Linked DNA regions of Mus musculus. The protein of the gene in region 3 binds, or shares a complex with, the protein of the main gene of each other region. Links are inferred from orthologs where the notes say so. Each region holds a gene or a part of one and is shown on either strand. Other genes may lie near its edges.

Region 1 (4,049 bases), on a different chromosome or scaffold from region 3:
GGCACTATTCTCAGGATAAAATTTTTGTGTGTGGAAGCACATGGAGAAACCAGAAGGCAACTTTTGCAAGTTGGTCTCTCCTTGTGGTAGTTGATCTTGATCAGGCTCATGACAAGTATCTATAATTGGCTGATCCAACTAACTGTCTTTGGATACTAATTTTTTCCCCCCGAGATAGGGTTTCTTTGTGTAGCTCTGGCTGTCCTGGAACTCAGAAATCCACCTGCCTCTGCCTCCCCAGTGCTGTGATTAAAGGTGTGTGCCACCACGCCTGGGCTGGATACTAATTTTAAGTGGCTAGTTTATACTGGCAACCCTATATTCCCTATATGAAAGTCAAAGGAGTTTTAGCAAATATGGTGGGAAACTTAAGATAATACTTACAATAGGCCCATCACCTCTCTCTAGGAATGGCTGGTGGTTTATGTGTACAATGGCAGGCAGCAAATACTATTGAAGAGTAAAAATAATAGAAATTGGATTAAAATAGTTATATATCTAAGGTCACCTCTGCCACAATTTATCAAGTTTTCCTAGACTTACAGATAATGTTTTCCCAGATCCAGTCTGAGCTACTCCAACCATATCCAATCCACTGAGAGCAACTGGCCAGCCCTGAGCTTGAATAGCAGTGGGTTCAGTAAAGTTCTGCCTTGCAATCACATCCATGACATTCGCTGCAACCAACAATACCATTTTAAAAACAAATTTATAAGCAAGGGGGGGGGGGGAAATGAAAGGATAAAGATGAAAGTTAGTCCTTACCAGGAAAGTTTGCTTCATAAAAATTCAGAACAGGTTTTGGACAGTTGTGACCTCTAACTGTAATTTCCTTGCTTCTTCTGTATGTATCTACCTCTTGCTGAAAAACAAATTATCTCAGCCTCAGACTTCTGCCATGCTCCCTATAGCTCAATAAACTTTTAAACATACTTATTTCTAAAAATCTGGACCCATAAATAAGAACTCTACTTGGCAACAAAAATTAATAATTAATTTATAATACTTATTTAAATGAAAATTGAGTCTCTATGAAGCCCAATAGACTGCTAAACCTGTTTCCCCAGTGACAGGATTAAAATAGGGCACCATATATCACAAGAAAAATTCAATGGAAGTGCACCACAAGCAACTCTCCATTTGCAAGGCACCTATTACATTTCCATCTAATTGACTAGAAGCAGTTACTGAGTTACAGCATGAAGAAGCCACATTTATAAACTCACTGCGGTGCGCCTTGCCAAATCAGGGTGTTCTTGATAAAAATTCTTCTCAAATTTGGGCAGCTCATCAAGATTCCACTTCTTTTTAACTAGTTTCTCCCCAGGATTTCCAAACTTCTTTCCAGAGAGGGGTCCTGTTCTACTCCCTCCAAATCGAGGTGCACCAAACCTACACACACACAAAACAAAAGTTGGGCACATTGTGAAAGATACTGCATGAACAGGTTTGCCCTCACATTTCATCTGCTGCCTTTTGATAGAGCCAAAGTGTGCTTCTGGAATCCTTCCCAACTGTCATTCTAAGGACAGCCACAACTGGCAGCGTTTCTTTTCTGAAGTCCCAAGCACACTCTACTGAGGCCAAATAAACATCGTGGGTTTATCAGGTGGCAAACAGCCCAAACATCTGACCAGATTACAAGGACAAGAGTTAGAGCCTCCATCTTCTCTCCCCACAGAGCTTAGGCATTAGCGTCTAGGAGCTGGGCAAGAAGGGAGGAGCTTAGGAAGGTTATTTTTGCCCGTTTTCATCAAAGGACCTAATCTTAAAGAAATAACGGGGCCGCAAAGGCAATGTGAGCAGCTGAACGAGGCTAGCACGGCGGACAGGGTAGAAAGGGGAACAGGCGCCAGCGAGCCGAGTCTAGGGAAACGCCGCGAACGGCTGCAAACCAAGGTAACAAAATTATATAACGCGAGGGAGAAAAAGAGGAGGAGCCGAAAGCAACCGGGGGAGGAGTCCCGGCCCGGGCGGCGTTCCCGCTGGGGCGGCGCTTCCTTCTTTGTCTCGCATTTCTCTCTGCGCCACATTTTCTCGCCGCTGCCATTTTGAGCTCCTCCGCCGGGCGGGGTAACAAAGGCGCCGCCGCCATGTCCGAGGCCGGCATTTTGTGGCTGCGGCTCCGCCACATGGCCGAATCCGCCGGCGTAGGCCACCCAACGGGGCACAGGGGACCTCGAAAGCGCCCCTTCTTTCCCCCGGGGATACCGGAAGGGGGGGCCCCCCTCAAAAAACAACCCAACGAAAGATTGCGCAAACGACGCCGGGAACCGCCTCAAAGGCGCGGCGCTTCCCGACCGAAAACACTCCTCCGGGTTTCCCTCAACAGCCGCGAGGTCGCCGGGCCGCCCCGGGTCCCGGCCCACCCTCCCGGACCAAAAAAAAAAAAAAAAAAAAAAAAAAAAAGGTTGAACGCCATTACCCGAAGCGTAGCCTTTAACGGCTTTTAACCGGACGTGTGACAAAAGCCAGGCCTCCTTTCAGGAAGGGAAAAAAAAAAATCTAAAGGTCGGTTGGGAAGGCGAGCCTTCGGCCGCGCCGCTCTCCCATCCCCCACCCGGCCTGACAGGTCTCTTGTCACACTCACCCTCGATCCCGGCCGCGGTCTCGGTCACTAGAATAACTCGACATGGCGTCAATGGTGGCGGTGTGCGGGCGGAACCCAGTGAAAGTAGAATCCTGCGGCGACGAGTCGCGGAGAGAAGGCCTCGGCGACGGCGAAGCCTCTGCGGGGGCGTCACCAGCGGAGGGGCCGGTGGTGTCGAGGGCCGGAGCTGCGAGGGCAAGGACCGATGGAAATGAATGAGGTGCCGGCTGCGTCCCGGCAGCCGCTTTTATAGTCTGGACCGCCTCCTCGCCGCAAAGCACGCTGGGAGCCGCTCTATGACCTAATCACCCCGCCCCCCTGGCTCGGAGGCCCTCAACGCCCGCCCGCCCGGGTTCCGGAATCCGCCATGTTCTCGCCCCTCCCCCTCCGCGGGCGGGCGCTCCCTCCCCGGCGCCCGTTTATTACTCGCTTCACGACTGGGTGACACCACTAGAATGCCTCGCCCCGACGCCCTTTTGGCGACACCGCCGTCTCTCGTCTCGCTACACCTCAGACAAGCTGCTTCCCCGTGGCCAGACGGTCCTTAAAATGGCCAGCGCCAGCCATTCCACCGACTCTACTTGAAGATGTTTACGTCTCCACAGACTCCCCCCACGCCCATAACCGAAGGAGACCAGGGAGGCGGAGCTTGGCCTCATCACGTGATCGGACCCAGGGCAAGGCGGATCGCACTACTTCCTCGCTTGGTCTCTCGGCGGAGGAACACCAAACCACCAACTCACCGGAAGCGCGGCTCCAACGCCCCCGGGGAGATCGGCCGGGCTGCTGGGTGACCTGGCTGCCCTGCCCGCCGATCTGAGAACCCGTAAGCGGGATCTTGACCGCGGGGAATGGTATCTGGAGCCCGCAAACTGCCGCCTCAGCGCGTGCTGCGAGGAAGTGCTCCTCTGCTGTCCAATCAGCGTCGAGAAGCCGTTTTAACGTCCCTCCCTCTTCCACCCCTCCTTCCCCGCTCGCTAGTGTCTGCCCCCTCCTCCTCCCGTCGGCTCGACCGAGTTCGACCCTTCTGGGACACCGTCGCCCGCGCTCTCGTCTTGGAGTCCGGCCGCGACCTCTCCTGGCAGTATGGCCAGCTCAGAGGCTGGTGAGTCTCGGCCTGGAGCCCTGGTGGTTTTGTACTGCAGCATTCCGCGGACCTTGGGCTGAATCTGAACCGCGTCTGCGCCGCTGCGGAGGCTCGGGACTGTCGGACACTAGTTGCAGTCGCGCGCGCGGTGGGGGGGGGGGTTCTATGAATTTAGGGTCTCAGCCTCGAAACCTCTTGCGGTTTCCAGACGTGGAACTGAGACTTGGGATGAGATAGGAACTCTTTGTCGAGCCTGGGACACCCGCATCCTGTCTATATAGAGCAGTCAAGATCCTTTCTTGGATCCGAATTTTTGTGGGGTATCTATCCACAGACTGTCTCTCTTTCCCCTTGCTTTGTTTGGACTAAGGC
Region 2 (3,382 bases), on a different chromosome or scaffold from region 3:
GTAACAACCCAGCCATGGTCACCCACAAAGTGTGACCCAGTAAGATCAGTGTGATTATAACCCCAGTGCAGTGTACAGCAGTGGCAGATCACTGGGACTTCCTGGCTGCCAGCCTAGTTGCAGGCTCAGTGAAAGACCCCATTACCACCAAGACAATAAGGCAGGGCATTTAGAAAAGGAGATCCAATATTGTTCTCTACCCTCTAGCAACACACAATCAAAATTTAGGCTATGAATATAGCTCTGTTGGTACAGTTCATGTCTTGTATGCAAGCAGCCCTGGGTTTGTTCTCCAGCACTGCATAAACTGGACAGTGACGTATGACTGCAATTCTAATCCTTAGGAAGTAGAGGCAGGAGGATCAAAACTTGAGTCATTCATAGCCTGGAATATTTGAGAAAAAAATTAAAATTTCAACAGCAGAGAACTTTAAAAGCCAGTTACTGTGTGTCCATATAATAGAACATGATTTTAAAAAAGAAAATCAAACTATGCAAGATTTTTCCAGTTTTTAAAAGGAAGATTTATTTAACAAGTTTCACTTAGTACAATACATCTAAATGGAATTCACAATACAAGGTAAGGTTTAAATCAAAGCCCCAGAATTCCATACAAATAACATGACCAAACTCCTAATGTATTGGTATCACATCTCAAAATTGTTCCGGATCTTTAAAAAAAAAAGTGAAAGTGTACACTCACGTGCCTTACAGGATATTAAACCAAAAAGCTAGAATTAACAAACATGCCAAATGTTGTCACTTTGAATCATAGACACAGCTCCTATATATATTTTTTTTTACAGAAAAGCATGTTTTTCAACATGCATCTGAAGTTTTCGATGTATTGTGGTATAAGAGCAACATTTAACGTAAGTGAAACTGCTTTAAACCTAAATATGCTTGCTGCTTAAGTACACTCCTACAACATAACTAACTTGAGGAAAGCTCAAAGGGGAGTTGACAGTTATGGTCAATACTGAACTTGTTATTACATCCTAGATGAATATTTTCAGTGTTCAAAATTGCTGAGCTTAAAGTTTGAAAACAATCTTAACTTTCACTTTACAGTAAGCATGAATCACAAGCTTGTAATGCGAAACTGTTAAAACTTAAATTTTTGTTCTTTTTTTTAAAAAAAAAAAAAGGAAAAAGAAGAAAGAAGCTGACCAATAGTGATCAGAAGCAGTTGTACTTCCCATTTACCAATCATACTGGATATAAAGACACCCTCCCTACTCTATCCAGTTCCTATAAAGATAGCTTTTATTCATGTAGATGTTATTGGATGGTCCCTTGCTTCCTAAGCAAGGTTTGACTGATAGTCACTTGAGTTTTCCTGAAGAACTTGGTCATATCCACTCATACTGCTCTGACCACCATAACCCCCTCCATAGCCACCACTCAGCTGCTGGCTGGCCGGACCTCCATAACTAGACTGGTTGGATAAACCCATCCCTCCCATCATCTGGCTACCGTAAGCACCACCACTTGCCCCTGCTGTAGAATTCAAAAAGAGCTCTACATAGCTATGATCATAAGCTCCTCCACTTGTCCCTGCGGTAGAATTCAAGAAGAGCTCCACATATCTGTGTTGCATATTTGCTTTATCTTTTGCCATAGCTGCCACAGCGTCTTCATGAGTAGCAAACTCAACATCTGCCTCACCAGTAACTCTTCCATCAGGTCCTATTTCAATGTGCACTCTCATGGGATTAAGAGGTGAGAAAAAATTGTAAATATCATTCTCGGTGGCTCTGTATGGTAACCCCCTCATATGTACACAGTGCCCCGTGGTGCTCTGGAAACTGGACCCACCATCTCCATATCTATGATCAGACATTCCTGAGAAACAGTAGTTTAGGTCTCTTCCAAATCTATCAGACCCAAAACCATACCCGTCATTATAACCTCCATAGTCATCATAGCCTCCATACCCTCCACCATAGGCACCCCGCCTCATTCTTTCAAACCCGGCTCCTCTGCCAATGCTATTATACCCTCTTCCAGCCCCTGGCCTATCGTAAGGACCCGGGCGCTGCATAGTCATGAGCTTTCTAGGTGGATCATAGTGGGTTCGGACTTCAGCTCGGCTACTCTTGAAGATTTCGATGTACCTATGCCCTATTCTTTCCTTGTGTTTCTTTAAGGCCTTCTCAGCTATCTCCTGTGAAGCAAACTGCACAAAAGCTTCCCCTGTGCTCCGCCCCTGAAAGTCCACTGGCAGTGTCATCCCATTTGGCACAATTTCCAACCCTGAAAAGAACTGAACAATTTCTTCCTTGCTACAGCCAAATGGGAGTCCTCTGAGTCGTACAAAACCATCATTGGCAGTATCAGGACTATTTGGACCTGTATGCTTTAACACCCAATCCATTTCAACACTGTTGGATTTGAATACTTCAACATATCTGTGTCCCATGGTTTCTCTGTCTTTCTTTAAAGCCAATTTCACTTCATCTTCAGATTCAAGTTCGACAAATGCTTCACCACTCGGTCTGCCTTCTCTGGTGTAGATGAAACGAACACCTGATGTGCCATTTTGGATTTTGCAATCAGAGAAGAAGCGCATCACTTCCTCGGCTGAGCAGGACCAGGGTAGGCCCCTGACCTTCACCACGAACCCCTCCCTGCCCTCTGTGCTCAGCATCATGGTGACTGATGGACTCTTGGTGGCAAGCTTGGCTCAATGCAAATTCAATGTGGCTTTAAAAAAATTAGAAAACTATTGTCATGAAAAAGTGTATATAATATAGTAAGAGAAACAAAGAAAACTATTATTTTACAAGTTCACATCAGTAAGTTTTTCAAAGGAGCCATATGAGCAAAGACTGCATAAAACTTTTAATCCATTCACTTAGCGAGTGCTTATACCATTTCTCTTATGTATCAGGTCTAATTAACAGTGGTTATTTCTGGGTAACAGTACTATAGGAATTTTTTTTTGTTTCCATGGATACTTTTTTCCTTTAGATAATTTCGAATATTCTAAATTTTCTGCACTGAGCCAATGTATTAACATCACAGAGAGAAAATTAAAACTAAATATAACAATGTACAACTATATCCCATTATAGAAAAATGAAAATATTCTTTAAATCAAAAGACAAACAAAACTCATGAGACAATACAACAAATCCATTAAATAGCCTAAAAATATAAAGAATGAATACAAGTCAATAAAATACAGAAGTACTAAAGCCTAAGAGATAAATGGAAGACATTAATATACATTTAAACAAGTTTTAGGAGCCAGCTTCAGTCCACAGTTCTGCCACGGACGAATCACAGTTCTATAGGAGAACTATGTGTCCTCAACAAAGTGCAGATACATAGACTACATAGAAGGCACGTTCATAGAAGGATTGGTTGATTACGTGTA
Region 3 (4,094 bases):
TTGAACATTCTGCTGAACTGGTCTACAGGCTCTGGGGTCACCCACCTGGCCAAAGACCACCGGGTGCTTTGCCAGGCTCCAGTTCTCCCACGAGGATGGTCTGAGCCTACCCTTGCCATAACCTGCCTGCCAGGCACACACACTGGGTTTCTCCACAGAGACACTGCCACTACCTGCCTGTACCCCACAGACCTACTCAGACTCTGGGAAGGGTCTGCAGCCATGTTATAGCGCCATGCCACTGACGTAACCATGGGGCTTAAGACTGGGGTACAAGCTTAAACACCAGACCAGCAAGCTATGGGCCAGCAAAGGCTGACTATGTGGAGAGTTCCCACAGGTACAAGCTGAGTCAGGCCAGACTGAGCATGAGAGGCAGGTAATTTAGGATCACATACGCCCACCCTGGATCAAGATGGCCTGCCTAAGTAAGAGCTTGCTCGGTGCTGACTGTATTGTACCGCAGCAGGCTGTAGTCTTGCATGGGTCGCCTTGGGCTCTGCTCTGTACGCATAGGTAGGACTGAAAATGCAAGTAGCTGGGAACGTGCCCTTCCAGTAATCACAGATACAGAGAGCCCTTCAGCCAACAGGCAGGGAAATTCATTCTGCTCAATGACGAGTACCTGCCCCAGCCAAACCATCCCTCCTTACCCATGACAAGAACGCACTGACTGTTCCTATGAACACTGATGTGTTCATACACGTGGACACAGCTCATGTCTGGACTGCCCTGCAAAACCATTTCCATCTACCAGTGCCCTTCTGGGTCTAGGTGTCACTATCCCATGACTACGTGGCCCTCAGATCTCCCTCAGAGCTCAAGAAATCTCTACCTCCTCCCCAACTGTGCATCCTGACAACCAGCCAAGAAGGAGCAGAGCCCTGGCTTTCCAGCTAGGCATGTGTTGGAGCTCCAGGCTCCTGTGGTGTGAAGGGAGCTCAGCCTGAACCCCTGTGCTGCACAAAGAAGGATGGGGTACGTCGTCGCCCTGCTCCTGTGGAAGCCATGCAGAGGGTGCCTGGGACAAGAAAAGGCGACCTGGAAGGGGAGGGGAGGGAGAGAATGAATGTCGGGAGCCACAGAGCACAGACTGAGCGGGGAGGAGTGTAGCAGCTGGGACATGGGAGAGCCTTGGTCACCAGCGTCTGTGCAGACAAGTGCTGAGGATGGCACATCTAAGAGGCCCCAAGTGGGCACTGGCTTGGCCGTGCTCGGAAGCACCTCTGTCATCATGCCAAGTTTTTCCTGCCTGACCCCAAATGGAAAGTGGTCATAGACAACAAGAAGCATCAAATACCTCAGATGACACAAACTTGTAGGTTCAGGCCTTTTCAGATAGCTAATATCTCTCTAGACCACCTGTTTCTGAAGCAAACTTAACCTCAGAACACAGGGACCAACTTCAACATCCTGGTATATCCTCAAGATCCTGAGACACTCCCCAAAGCAGGCAACACTTGCTCTGGATAGACTACCCGGGTCCTGGACCAAAAGAGAGGTAGAAGGACTGGGGATCCCAGTGTGGAATTACAGGCACTCAATGCATAGCTGGTCCTACTTAGGGAAAAGATATTCCCAAAGACAATTTGGGTATGGCTCCATCCCTTAGCTTTATAAAAGTAAGCATGTGTTTTGCATTTCGGATTGTTAGCCCACATTAAGAGTCTAGCCTAAGAGTTAACACAAACAGAAGCATTTTCTTTCTTTTCCATCATTTCTAAATGTCTGAATCCTCAGAGACAGTCCCCTAGTACCTTAGACACTGATACCTGACACTGAAACAAATAGTTAAATATTGAATATAAGTAGCATTTAATTATTTAAAAATTAAAAGGGGAAAGCCATGGTATCCAGGCCTCCTGAAGCAGAGCAACTCCAGACTTGCATATTCTCCAGGGCTGGTGTCCCACTGAGGAATGTAGGGGTATCTAGGGAGGAGATTCAAGCAGGGACACCAGACAAGGGATTCCCAGCAGCGCCTCCTCTCTCTTTTGTGAGGCCTTAGGAGCATCGTCGCTGCGTAGGGACATTCCCTTGGCATCGCCAAGACCCTGCGCTCACCAACAGCCGTACCACCCCGGGAAGTTCCCCAGCCTCGCCGCCCGAGTCCTGGTAAAGTTTCCATAGCCGTCGGGTCCCTGCTTGCAGGCTCTGCAGTGGCTCGCGGAGGGCAAAGCTGTGGGAGCTGGGTCCAGTTCATCCCGGAGGCTGAACAGCCCGGAGGCTGAAGCCGGCGCCGTAGCCAGGTTGGACAGAGCCCTGAGGTCATGCACAAAGGGACCCGCCCCCAACCACCCGGGTCTCTGGGGACCCGTCGTGTGCTAGAGCGCGGGTGAGCAGAAGAACCAGCTTCCGAGCCCCACCCAGACCTAAAGTCCGAGCCCAGGACCCTGTCCCTATCTTAGTCCGCATCTCAGTCTAGACACTATACCAGCTCGCTCCCCCAGGACCTACCCCTAATCCTGGCCGGGGCCCGAGTGTCCAGCCCCAGGCCCACAGCCGGACCCCGCCCACCCGGCCGAGCTCACCTGGCGCGCGGCGTGGGCGGCTCCGCAGCGCGGCCTCCGCCCCCAAGACAGGCGTCCCCAGGTCCCCCGGTGCGCGGGGAGCGGCCTCTCCAGCGCCCAGCACCGAAAGTGGCTCCCGGGGCCACAACTTGTGCTTGTGAGGAGGTGAGGGGGGGAACACTCCTCCTCCCCTACTGGAGCAGCCAGCAAGCAGGCTAGCCCTCCTACCCCTCCCGCTGCCCGTGCGCAAAGCGGACCTGGCCGGAGACGAGGCCTCCGCCCCGCCCCATCCAACTGCGAATTTTCCCATTGGTAGAGAGACGCGCCCCGCAACCCGCACCGATTGGATGGATGTGCAGAGATTGCGGCTTGCTGTTGGGTTCCTGGTATTGTCAGTCTTAGCCCAGGTCGGCCCCCTAGCAGAGCAGGCCCTGACACCTGCCCGGAATGCTGTGGCTGCAGCAGCTGCAGGAGGCTCGGAGTTGCCCCCTCCCGGCCATCTTCAGAGGAGTTCTGGGGATAGTAGGCCCTGAGCTGGAACTTGCAGGGCAGGCGGTCACTCCCGGATTCCAGCAGCGTTGTCTCCATCTCCACCCCAAGTTCCCAGGTATCCTGCTGTTAACCGGACATTGAGCGTCGATTCCTTTCTATTGGCATAGAATGGTATTTATCTTACACTCCGCAAGTGTAAAGATAAATCCCATTTTACAGATAGAAAATTGAGGCTTTAGGCAACCAGGGCGTGAACCCAGTCGTTGGACTTCCAGCCTTGGGGGCTCTCTCACTGTCCCCATAACCCCTGCAGCAAGGACGAACAAGGTCAGCTAGGCTGGTACAAAGTGGGGATGGTTGCAGTGATTTTGAGGGCAAAAGCAGACTCTAGAAAAACTAGAGCTTTTTTTCTTCTATGAAGCCTGTATTTACAGAGCCTTTGGGCACTCCCTACAGCTGCATGAGACTGCTCTTTCCCCGGGGCAATGAAAAGCGTCCTCTTCCCGGGAAAGGGGAATTATGTGTTTATCTCTTCCCCACTACACCCTGGTGTCCCGATTTCCTCTGCCCTGCTTTGAGTCTTGGAGAAATATCAAGGAGCTTTATCCACTGCCTGAAAAGATAAACACATATTTCCCTACTAGGTAAAGCACACCAAACACATCTCTGCAGTGACATAAGGCAGTGGAGGGGACCCACGGGGGATGCTGTAACATAAACAGGAGATGGAAGTGCAGACTGTGGAAATGAATCTGGCCTGTGCTTGCTCAGAAGCCTCTTATCCTGAGTGCACTGGAAATGAGCAACTCTTCTGGGCTGTCGGTGTTTCCCAAGGCCCCTTACAGATAGTGCTAATGGAGGCCAGGGTGTGTGTGTGTGTGTGCGTTTGTGTGTGTAGGGGGTCTACCCAGATGGTCATATTTCACCCACCTATGCTGAGTCCAGTGTGCTCACCCAATAAGGGTTGCTTGGTGAAGACAAAGAAAGTAAATGCCTGGAGCAGGAGCTCACTTCTGGGTCGCCTACAATACAAATTGATACCAGGAGCTTTTCAGAGTCAAGGCAGTTGCTACTAATCCGTTGGTATTGCTA
Region 4 (4,085 bases), on a different chromosome or scaffold from region 3:
GAACCCCAAGGTCACTGGAAGGCAAAACAGCACTGCATTAGAAACCAACAGTGCGCGCACACACAGGAAAATGACAGATACTCCAGAACAGCTCAGCCTTACATTTTTACCAAGTCACCTTCCTTGAGTATATAGTCCTGGTCACTCTTCAAAGGGGAGAAGTGACACACACAGTTATTTACGGAAATGCTGGTAGGAAAGGCAATACCTGTAAAAAGAACCATCAACCTTACTGCCTTGTTCTCACCTGGGAACACTTCCTGCCCTTTAGAAAAGTTGAAGGGGACTGGTTTTCGGTTTAGTCTGGGAAGGAAACTGTACCCATCCCACTTGCTACTTAGATTTTCAAATAGCTTAACCAGGGATTTGGGGGGGTGGGGTGTGTTTGTGGGAGGGCAACTAGGTGGCTGGGTTCAAATAGGAGAAATCAAGAGGGAGGGTTTTACCCTTCTTACCTTTCTTCATCTCCTTTTCCTTCTTGAAGATCTTCCCTGTCTCTTCCATAATCATGGCATCACCTTTCTCACACAAGCTCAGCACAGACACACCTGAGCTGGAAGCCTCCACCAAAGATCGAAGCACCCCTGGGAACAGGAGAAACCCATCAGCCCTGCATGCGTTCATCATGTGACCAGACCACAAACTGAATTTCGTTTCTCATACTCCCAACACTGTTCATTGTCCTAAGGTAGAGAGAGGAAAGGTTTATGTCCTGGAATAATCTACCCATGTTTAACGTCTGCGTTTTTGTTTTTGAGAAATACCCCTGACTGTCCTAGAATTCAGCGTAGACCTGCCTGCCTCTGTCTCCCCACACATGTGCTGGCACTGAAGGTGAGCCCACCACACCCTGCTCTACTTCCTACCTTCCCTTCCAAAAATAAGGTCAGCACCAGCTTCTCTCCTCTCCATGATTTGACACTTAGGCCTTAGGCCTCACACATCCCAAAGATGCTGTGGCAACCCACTCCACACACACAAACAGACCAAAAGACATTTATAGGCGTCGGGGACAATGGGGAGGTAGAGAACTGCTGAGTCAAAGTTGAAGCATTGTTAAATGTTACCTCCGTCCCTCCCCAGACACAAAGTAGTAATCATAATTTATGTGGCTGTATTTCCCCATGTCTAAGTATATAAGCCCAGGGGAATTAACCTAAGGTCTTAAAGATTCAGAGGGCTAAAACTTTACTTCCAGTATATCAAGATCACATGTAACCAGTTTCAAAACTATTATCTGAAGTTGCCTGTGGGGTTGGAGATTCTGTCTGATTCAAACCAACAGCAAATACTAAAACATCACCCCAAATAAGGTTATCATTTTGTGTATGTCTTTATGATCATGGGAATTCTAGGTTTGATGATTTCTTATGTGTTTTATTCTCTGGATTCCAGAGGAACTAAGATGTAACCAAAGACACCCTAAATACCTTCTTCCAAGTATTTTGTCAAGTCCATTCTAAAGGCCTAAGGCAGTTTTTTTTTTTTCCTCAAGACAGGGTTTCTCTGAAACTCAGAAATCCGCCTGCCTCTGCTCCCCAAGTGCTGGGATTAAAGGCGTGAGCCACCACTGCCAAGTCTAAGACAGTTTTTATCAAGTGAATTTTAATTTTTAAAATGTTAAAGAGCCGGGCATGGTTACACACACCTTTAATCCCAGCACTCTGGAACGCTGAGGTGGGCGGATCTCTCAGGCCAGCCTGGTCTAAGGGAGTACCAGGACAGCCAAAGCTACACAGAAAGCCCCAAAAATAAGGGGGTAAGGGAGGGAAAGAACTGGAAAGAGAAAACAGTAAAGTTATCTGTCCAAGTGGCAGACAACTGTTAGGAGAGTAAAGATCATTTAAGAAATGCTTATAATCCTAAAATCCGTGTCTCTCTCCACTTCTTTTCAGTATTATAGACAGGCTTGCCCAGCTGTCTAAGCAGAACCTCAAAACACTGTAGAGGCTCTAGGAACAAATATTAAAGGCCGCCTTCAAAAACCGGAGCAGTGGTCATACAGGAAAGCCAGGTTGTTTTAGAAGCTCCAGAAGTGTCTTCCAACGGCCCCTCGAGCTAGGTCAAGGGGCGAAGGGGGTCCCCACTAAGAAGACCTGAAGTAAAGACTTTAGCAAAGCACGTGGTGGGGAAGCACGGTAGGAGAGGAAGTGGGGAGCCATCGATCCGCACACAGGGACCTGGCAACACGTGCCGGCTCAGCTCCCGCGGGTCAAGAGCCGCGACTGGCAGAGGGGCGCTTCCGTCGCCAACAGCTGGCCGCTTCCTTTTCGAGGTGGCCTCACTGCTGCCAGTCGGGAGCATAGATCCGGACAGACCGAAGGGTATGGGCAGAAGACGACGCGCCTTGCCTCCTTACCAACCGCCCAGGGTCGGAGCATGCCTGGGCCCCTCTCTGTACTCCTCGCGGTCGCCGGCCCGCACCTCCACTCTCCAGCCCAGGCATGGCTGCTCAGTCCCCAGGGCGACACCAGATCTCCCCACCACGTCGCCCCCGGCAGTCGGCACGCGCCCCTCGGTGGCTCACTCGGCAAGACCCAGACGCCACAGCCCTCCGGAGAGAGCCCCAAACCTCTCCCTCTCAGCCTCGACTCCAAGACCCCCGAGGCCGCACTCACGGTTGGCGATGTCGCCCCCCATCTTATACTTGGTCACGACCAGGTCCTCGGCGATAGTTTGCTCCTGCTGCTCGTCTTCGCCCGACATCTTCCTACTGCTACTACTGCAGCTTCACTTTCCCTGAGCTGCGGCCTCCGTCTCCCTTCCCAGCCACAGGCTGTAGCTAGAGTCTCTTCGATCCGCGAGGAAAGCGCGAGCAAGCAAGGGAGCGGGAGGGCGGGCAGAGAGAGCGAGAAGCTGCGAGCGCGCGGGCTGAGGCGCAGGGCACACTGGGACAATGAGTCCTGCTGTCGGCCAGTTCCCAGCCGCCCTCGCGGGCTCTAGAACTACAATTCCCAGCCTGCTCCTCGCGCCCGTCCGCCAGGCCCTGGGAGGACTTGCCTTCCCAAGTCTGCGCACGCCGGAATCGCCGGGCACGCTGGGAAGAGTCTGGCCCCGGCGGGAAGGCGGAGCCGTTGGGGAGCTTGAGGGAAAGCGTGGTCTCTCCGGGAAAAACCTCTCATTCACGCCGACCCTGAGCTCGTAACAGCGAGGGGCGGGCCAAGCGGGGAGGGGTGGAGCTACAGGGAGAAAAGGGTTGAGAGGCCGCTGGGCAGGGTGGAACAGGGTGGAGCCTGGAGCCATAGGACTAGGGTCAGTGGGTGTGTGTGTACGTTTTGGGCGGTTGTCCCGTGCGCGTAGCCTTGGATTCCCCTGTCGGCCGGCGCGACCGGCCTGGCTGGTCAAATCCTCCAGTGCTGGGATAACCTCTGGGAGGGGCTGAGCGGAGGTGGAAGTCCTAGGGTGCTGGAAGCGAGCACTAACTGGACAGTCTGGGTGATTATACATGTACCATGGCCTGCTAATAGAAAAAGGCCAGACTTCCTACTAGACTAGAATAAAATAGCACTATTGTTCCAGCCGTGGTTTTTGATGGGGGCCATCTAAGGGAAACGTTTATGAGGGATTTGGTCACTCTTAAGAGTTCTGAATCGCCGGGATGAGGTGGCGCACGCAAAGGCAGGCAGATTTCTGAGTTGGAGGCCAGCCTGGTCTACAGAGTGAGTTCCAGGACAGCCAGGGCTATATGGAGAAACCCTGTCTCGAACAAAAAAAAAAAAGTTCTGCATCATTTCAAGTTTTCAGTACCCAACCTGTGTAGGAAAAAATAAAAACAACCCAAGGCTTGCTTGAGCTTTTTCATTTTCTCCCAACAATCAGGGGGTTAGGGTTTTGTTCCTAATTGTTTACACTTTTGTTCCTTTGTAGGGATCCCCAGTAAAAAACCCTTTAGTAGAAAGGACTAGAAATGCAAAGCCGGGCACTGGTGGTGCACGCCTTTAATCCCAGCATTTGAGAGGCAGAAGTAGTCGGATTTCTGAGTTCGAGGCCAGCCCGGTCTACAGAGTGAGTTCCAGGACAGCCAGGGCTACACAGAGAAACCCTGTCTCGAAAAAACAAACAAAAGAAAAAGACTAGAATGCAAA
Region 5 (4,249 bases), on a different chromosome or scaffold from region 3:
GTAGATAAATTTTTAACCCTCGCCTTCTAGTATAAGGTCAATACTGCCAATTTCATCTGTGACAATAGCACTTGGAGTCATACCATTGCCTCCATTATTGATCTGATCCTCCTCAATCCTCCTTTTGACAATCCTAAAATGATTGAAATGTGCTCCACAATCCTTAATCCAAAGCATTCTTAATCCATCTCTTCAGATATGTCTACAGAAAGACACATGAAAAGCAAGATAAACATAAGAACTTCCCCCAAGTAAGATAACCACAAACACCCCCAACATCCCATTTCACACAAACCAGAGCAGAATAGACATTTACATAATATCACAGTCTGAAGAGCATGGAAATTAACTAAATTTAAACAATCCTGTCTATGACATCACTTAAAATACAAGTTACCAAAGACATGAGGGGAATGTAGATGTTAGGAGCAAGGGGATATTACACAAGAATGCAATTCAACACTTTAGCCCATTCTGAACAAAACAGCTTGAATTAAAAAAATGAAAAGATTGTACTGAGTAAAGGAAAACTGTATACAACATGGGTTCTACAAAAAGTGTCACCAATCATCTTATGTACGAGAGCGAGATCTGCTATGACGGGGAGAATAGCGTGGTGATCCTCTGCTTCTCCTTGGGGAGTAACTGCGACTCCTGCTGTTGCTTCTGCTACGGCTTCTGCTACGACTACGGCTTCGAGATCGAGATCTTCCATAACTTGGACTTCTGGGCCCATCAACTTTAACCCGGATGTAGGCAGTTTCTCCCTATTGGATAGACAGAACTTTCCATTGAAAGATCTAAGCTTTCACCTGTCTTCAGACAAGCTGAACGAATACAAAGACAGATCAGGGCTCTGGTAATTTACGTGAACACCCTTGCCTGTATCCTTACCTTCAAATTCCACTGTTAAGAAAACTGTATCCAATTCTGGCCAAAAAAAAGAATAAGTGTATAACCTACCTCGTGAGATCTAAACTTAGTGTTATCCAGTTTTCGAACTGCATACGTCATATCTTCTTTCCGTACAAACTCCACGACACCAGTGCCATCTCGGTAAACATCAGCGTAACATACATCACCTGCCTCACGCATGTGATCCTTTAAGTCCTGCCAGCTTCCACTCGGAGGCAGTCCTGAAAAAGCGATTCCCCCTAATTTAATACTACTCATCCTGTCCCACGGCAAACGTGTAAAGTACATTCGAACAAGGATTATTTTAAAATACTTAATGATTGTACTTAAGTGTTTCCAGGTAAAGAGCTGGTAAGAGTCAGATCCAGAGTCCAAATTTATTTGTAAAGGATCTTCATAGGCTAGTACTGCAACCTAATTTGGGTAAATCACCACCACAGTAATCTTTATTTACTAAATTCATCCCAAAGACCGAAGTAGTCCAAGACCCCGTGTGTAAAACAAAACAAAAACAACAATAACAAAAACCTTGCAGTACTCAAAGCAGTCATGCGGGAAAAAGATTTTAACCCGCACGAAGTCAACTCACCAGAGACAACCACTCTGTTCTCGGACCGCCTGGACGGCGGGCCATAGCGGCCTCTCGGGGCGCCGCCGCCTCCACCCCCGCCGCCGCCTCGGCCGGTCCCGCGGCCGCTTCGGGGAAACTCTACCCGCAGCCGGTAGCCGTCGTAGTCGTAGCCGTCGCGACCGTACACCGCATCTTCCGCGTCTCTGCGTGTGATCACAGAAAGCGAAAGGGGGGGGTGATGAGGGGAGGGAGCCGCCGGACCCAGCTCGTTCGCCCGCTCCGGGGGTGAAAAGCCGCGGCCACAGCGCACATGCGCACCCACGGGGCCACACGGAGCCCCACATGCGCCGCATAATAGGGCCGGCCCTTCCCCCACCCAGCACCACGCCGGGCAGAGGCTCCCGACCACCTCGCCGGCCCTCAGCGCCTCGGTTTCCCGCTCCGGGGGCTGCGCATGGGCTCGGGGGGTAGGGGGGACGTCCGAGGCGGCCGGCCACCGGAGACAACGCGCCGCCTCTCGGCTCTCCTGACTCGACTCCTGCAGGGGCGATAGCGCCTCGGAGCCCCTCCTCTCCCCCCATTATGTTCCAAGGCCTCCGAGCCTTCCCCAACTCCTCCACGCTATCTCCTCAAGGCCGCGCACGCCCCACGCTGCCTCACCGCGGGTCCTCGAACTCAACGAAGGCGAAGGGCGGTCCCCCGCGGCGGTTCTTCAGGTCGATGTCGCGGATGGCGCCGTATTTGTAAAACACGTCCTCGATGTCCTTGGTTCGGATATCCGGAGGTAGGTTACCCACGTAGATGCGGCAGTCGTTGTTCCCCGCCGGGCCACGGATCACACCACCTCCCGACATGGCGGCGGCGGCGACGACGAAAAGCGCGGACTCGGGGGGGGGGAAGGAAAAAAAAAAAAAGAGGCCTTCCTACCAAGCCTAGCGTACGGCAGAGCGAGCCCTCAGCGGCACCACGTCTCCCGCGGCCGCTCCAAAATGGCGCCTTTATCAGCTCGGCGCACTGATACCGGGGGGGAGGGGGAGGAAGAGAAGCCGGAGGAAGCGGCTCGTCCCTCCCAGTGCGCAGGCGCACGCCTCTAACGGGTGCTGAGAAGCACGCTCGCGCACGCGCGACGTCACCCTCCGCACGGAGGGGAAAAAGTCCCTCGCGTCCTGGCGGGTTGACTGGCTGCTGGAACGTCCAGGCGTTTAGTAAAAATCACATGCTCTGGTTAAAGCGGTTATTATTAATCCCCACTGAGTCCAGAATCGTCGGCCACCTCGGGGGTAGACCCTCTCTGAAAGCAGCTCGGCGCTCTAAAAAGATTGGGTGAAACCTATCTTGCAAGCGTGTCCCACCATGCTCCGCGGTGGTAACGGCCTTTGGCGGGAAAGGCGCCGCGGGGCGGAGATAGATGACGCTGAGCTGTTGCTCCGGAAACCTGGGCATCTTCTGCACTTCGGTGCCGCCGGCGGGAGTTGCAGGTGATTTCATTTAAAAGCCGAAGCGGAGCAGTGTGGCTTCTGCCTCTGGGAACCTGCGGTGGGCTGCATCTTAGTTAAAGTGTCTAGACGGATCCTCCATATCTATCTAAATGAAAACTGTGCCTTGAGTTTTCCTCTTCCTCCTTTCTAAGGATGAAAAAGGAAGAGTGATAAAACAGTTTAACTGCAGAGCCGAGATCCCGGTTCTGTGCTGGTCTAGGGAGATTATTTATTTATTTGTTTATTTTGCCAAGATTATCTGCAAAAGGATTCTTGCATTGGATACCACAATTTTGCTTCTTTGTTTTGTAATAACGGGAATAGAAGAGCCTTACGTGTGAAATCATACGGCCTTGTAGTGTTGTTAATGAACTCGAATTATAATAAAAGCAAACCAATCTGGACTTAAGCTTGTGTGCCTGAAATCCTATCACTCCGGAAGCTGAGGCAAGGAGGGTCCAGCCTACCCTGTTATACACAGTTCTAGTAAAGGTTATCCCGGAGCCAGGCAGTGGTGGCGCATGCCTTTAATCCCAGCGCTCGGGAGGCAGAGGCAGGCGGATTTCAGAGTTCGAGGCCAGCCTGGTCTACTGAGTGAGTTCCAGGACAGCCAGGGCTATACAGAGAAGCCCTGTCTCGAAAAACCAAAGGGGAGGCGGGGGGAAAGGTTAGCCCGGGACATTCAGGGAAACCCTTTCTATTAAAAATATTGAAAAACAAAACGTTTTCTTGGTGTTGTTTTTGTTTTGGGGTTGTTTTGTTTGAGACACGATTTCTCTGTGTACCCCTGGCTGTCCTGGAGTTCCTGCCTTCTGAGTGCTGGGATCAAAGTCACTACCTCCCAGCTAAAACCAGAGCCTTTCATGATTGGATAGAGACAGCCAGGCGTAGTGGTAAATGCCTCTTGAAGTTTTTGGGAAGCGGAATTTCAGGGTTCAAGGCCAGCCAGAGCTGTGTCGACCCTATCACTAATAAATATGCTAAGTCGGATCCCCACAGGTTCTAAGGGTGATTCTTTATACTGTAATTTTTAGTTTTTAATTTTTATGTTATGCATATTGTGTCTTGGGGTGGTGGGTCATGCCATGGCCCATGTGTGAAAGTCAGAAAATAAGGTGCAGTTCACCACTCATGCCATGTGAGCCCCCGAGATGAAACGTCAGGCTTGGGAGGAGCACCTTAACCAGATGAGTCACTGAGTCATTGCTGCCCCTGGATGTTATCATTTATTTACAACAGTCCAAGGATGTGGGGCTGCTTAAAATGAAACCATTAAATATTAAGA

The links.
Region 1: Arvcf (region 3) and Ddx5 share a complex: the UniProt entries of both Homo sapiens proteins name them as parts of the ribonucleoprotein complex. The link is inferred for Mus musculus from reciprocal best matches to the Homo sapiens genes ARVCF and DDX5.
Region 2: Arvcf (region 3) and Hnrnph2 share a complex: the UniProt entries of both Homo sapiens proteins name them as parts of the ribonucleoprotein complex. The link is inferred for Mus musculus from reciprocal best matches to the Homo sapiens genes ARVCF and HNRNPH2.
Region 4: Arvcf (region 3) and Pa2g4 share a complex: the UniProt entries of both Homo sapiens proteins name them as parts of the ribonucleoprotein complex. The link is inferred for Mus musculus from reciprocal best matches to the Homo sapiens genes ARVCF and PA2G4.
Region 5: Arvcf (region 3) and Srsf1 share a complex: the UniProt entries of both Homo sapiens proteins name them as parts of the ribonucleoprotein complex. The link is inferred for Mus musculus from reciprocal best matches to the Homo sapiens genes ARVCF and SRSF1.

The regions. Positions count from the first base shown.
Region 1 is NC_000077.6:106,785,683-106,789,731, forward strand, and holds the start of Ddx5 (probable ATP-dependent RNA helicase DDX5), read right to left. Parts: upstream 2,813-4,049; 5' UTR 2,635-2,812; coding exon 2,591-2,634; intron 1,393-2,590; coding exon 1,227-1,392; intron 863-1,226; coding exon 766-862; intron 678-765; coding exon 544-677; intron 451-543; coding exon 385-450; intron 1-384. Other genes in the region: Cep95 (centrosomal protein of 95 kDa), read left to right, coding at 3,677-3,695. UniProt on the Homo sapiens protein: Involved in the alternative regulation of pre-mRNA splicing; its RNA helicase activity is necessary for increasing tau exon 10 inclusion and occurs in a RBM4-dependent manner. Binds to the tau pre-mRNA in the stem-loop region downstream of exon 10.
Region 2 is NC_000086.7:134,604,179-134,607,560, reverse strand, and holds the end of Hnrnph2 (heterogeneous nuclear ribonucleoprotein H2), read right to left. Parts: intron 2,707-3,382; 5' UTR 2,654-2,706; coding exon 1,304-2,653; 3' UTR 501-1,303; downstream 1-500. UniProt on the Homo sapiens protein: This protein is a component of the heterogeneous nuclear ribonucleoprotein (hnRNP) complexes which provide the substrate for the processing events that pre-mRNAs undergo before becoming functional, translatable mRNAs in the cytoplasm. Binds poly(RG).
Region 3 is NC_000082.6:18,346,894-18,350,987, reverse strand, and holds the start of Arvcf (armadillo repeat protein deleted in velo-cardio-facial syndrome homolog), read right to left. Parts: upstream 2,807-4,094; 5' UTR 2,532-2,806; intron 1-2,531. UniProt on the Homo sapiens protein: Contributes to the regulation of alternative splicing of pre-mRNAs.
Region 4 is NC_000076.6:128,563,122-128,567,206, forward strand, and holds the start of Pa2g4 (proliferation-associated protein 2G4), read right to left. Parts: upstream 2,814-4,085; 5' UTR 2,707-2,813; coding exon 2,619-2,706; intron 585-2,618; coding exon 456-584; intron 209-455; coding exon 103-208; intron 15-102; coding exon 1-14. UniProt on the Homo sapiens protein: May play a role in a ERBB3-regulated signal transduction pathway. Seems be involved in growth regulation. Acts a corepressor of the androgen receptor (AR) and is regulated by the ERBB3 ligand neuregulin-1/heregulin (HRG).
Region 5 is NC_000077.6:88,045,930-88,050,178, reverse strand, and holds the start of Srsf1 (serine/arginine-rich splicing factor 1), read right to left. Parts: upstream 2,807-4,249; 5' UTR 2,341-2,806; coding exon 2,147-2,340; intron 1,690-2,146; coding exon 1,505-1,689; intron 1,137-1,504; coding exon 964-1,136; coding exon of another isoform or gene 910-963; exon of another isoform or gene 768-909; coding exon 573-767; 3' UTR 1-572. UniProt on the Homo sapiens protein: Plays a role in preventing exon skipping, ensuring the accuracy of splicing and regulating alternative splicing.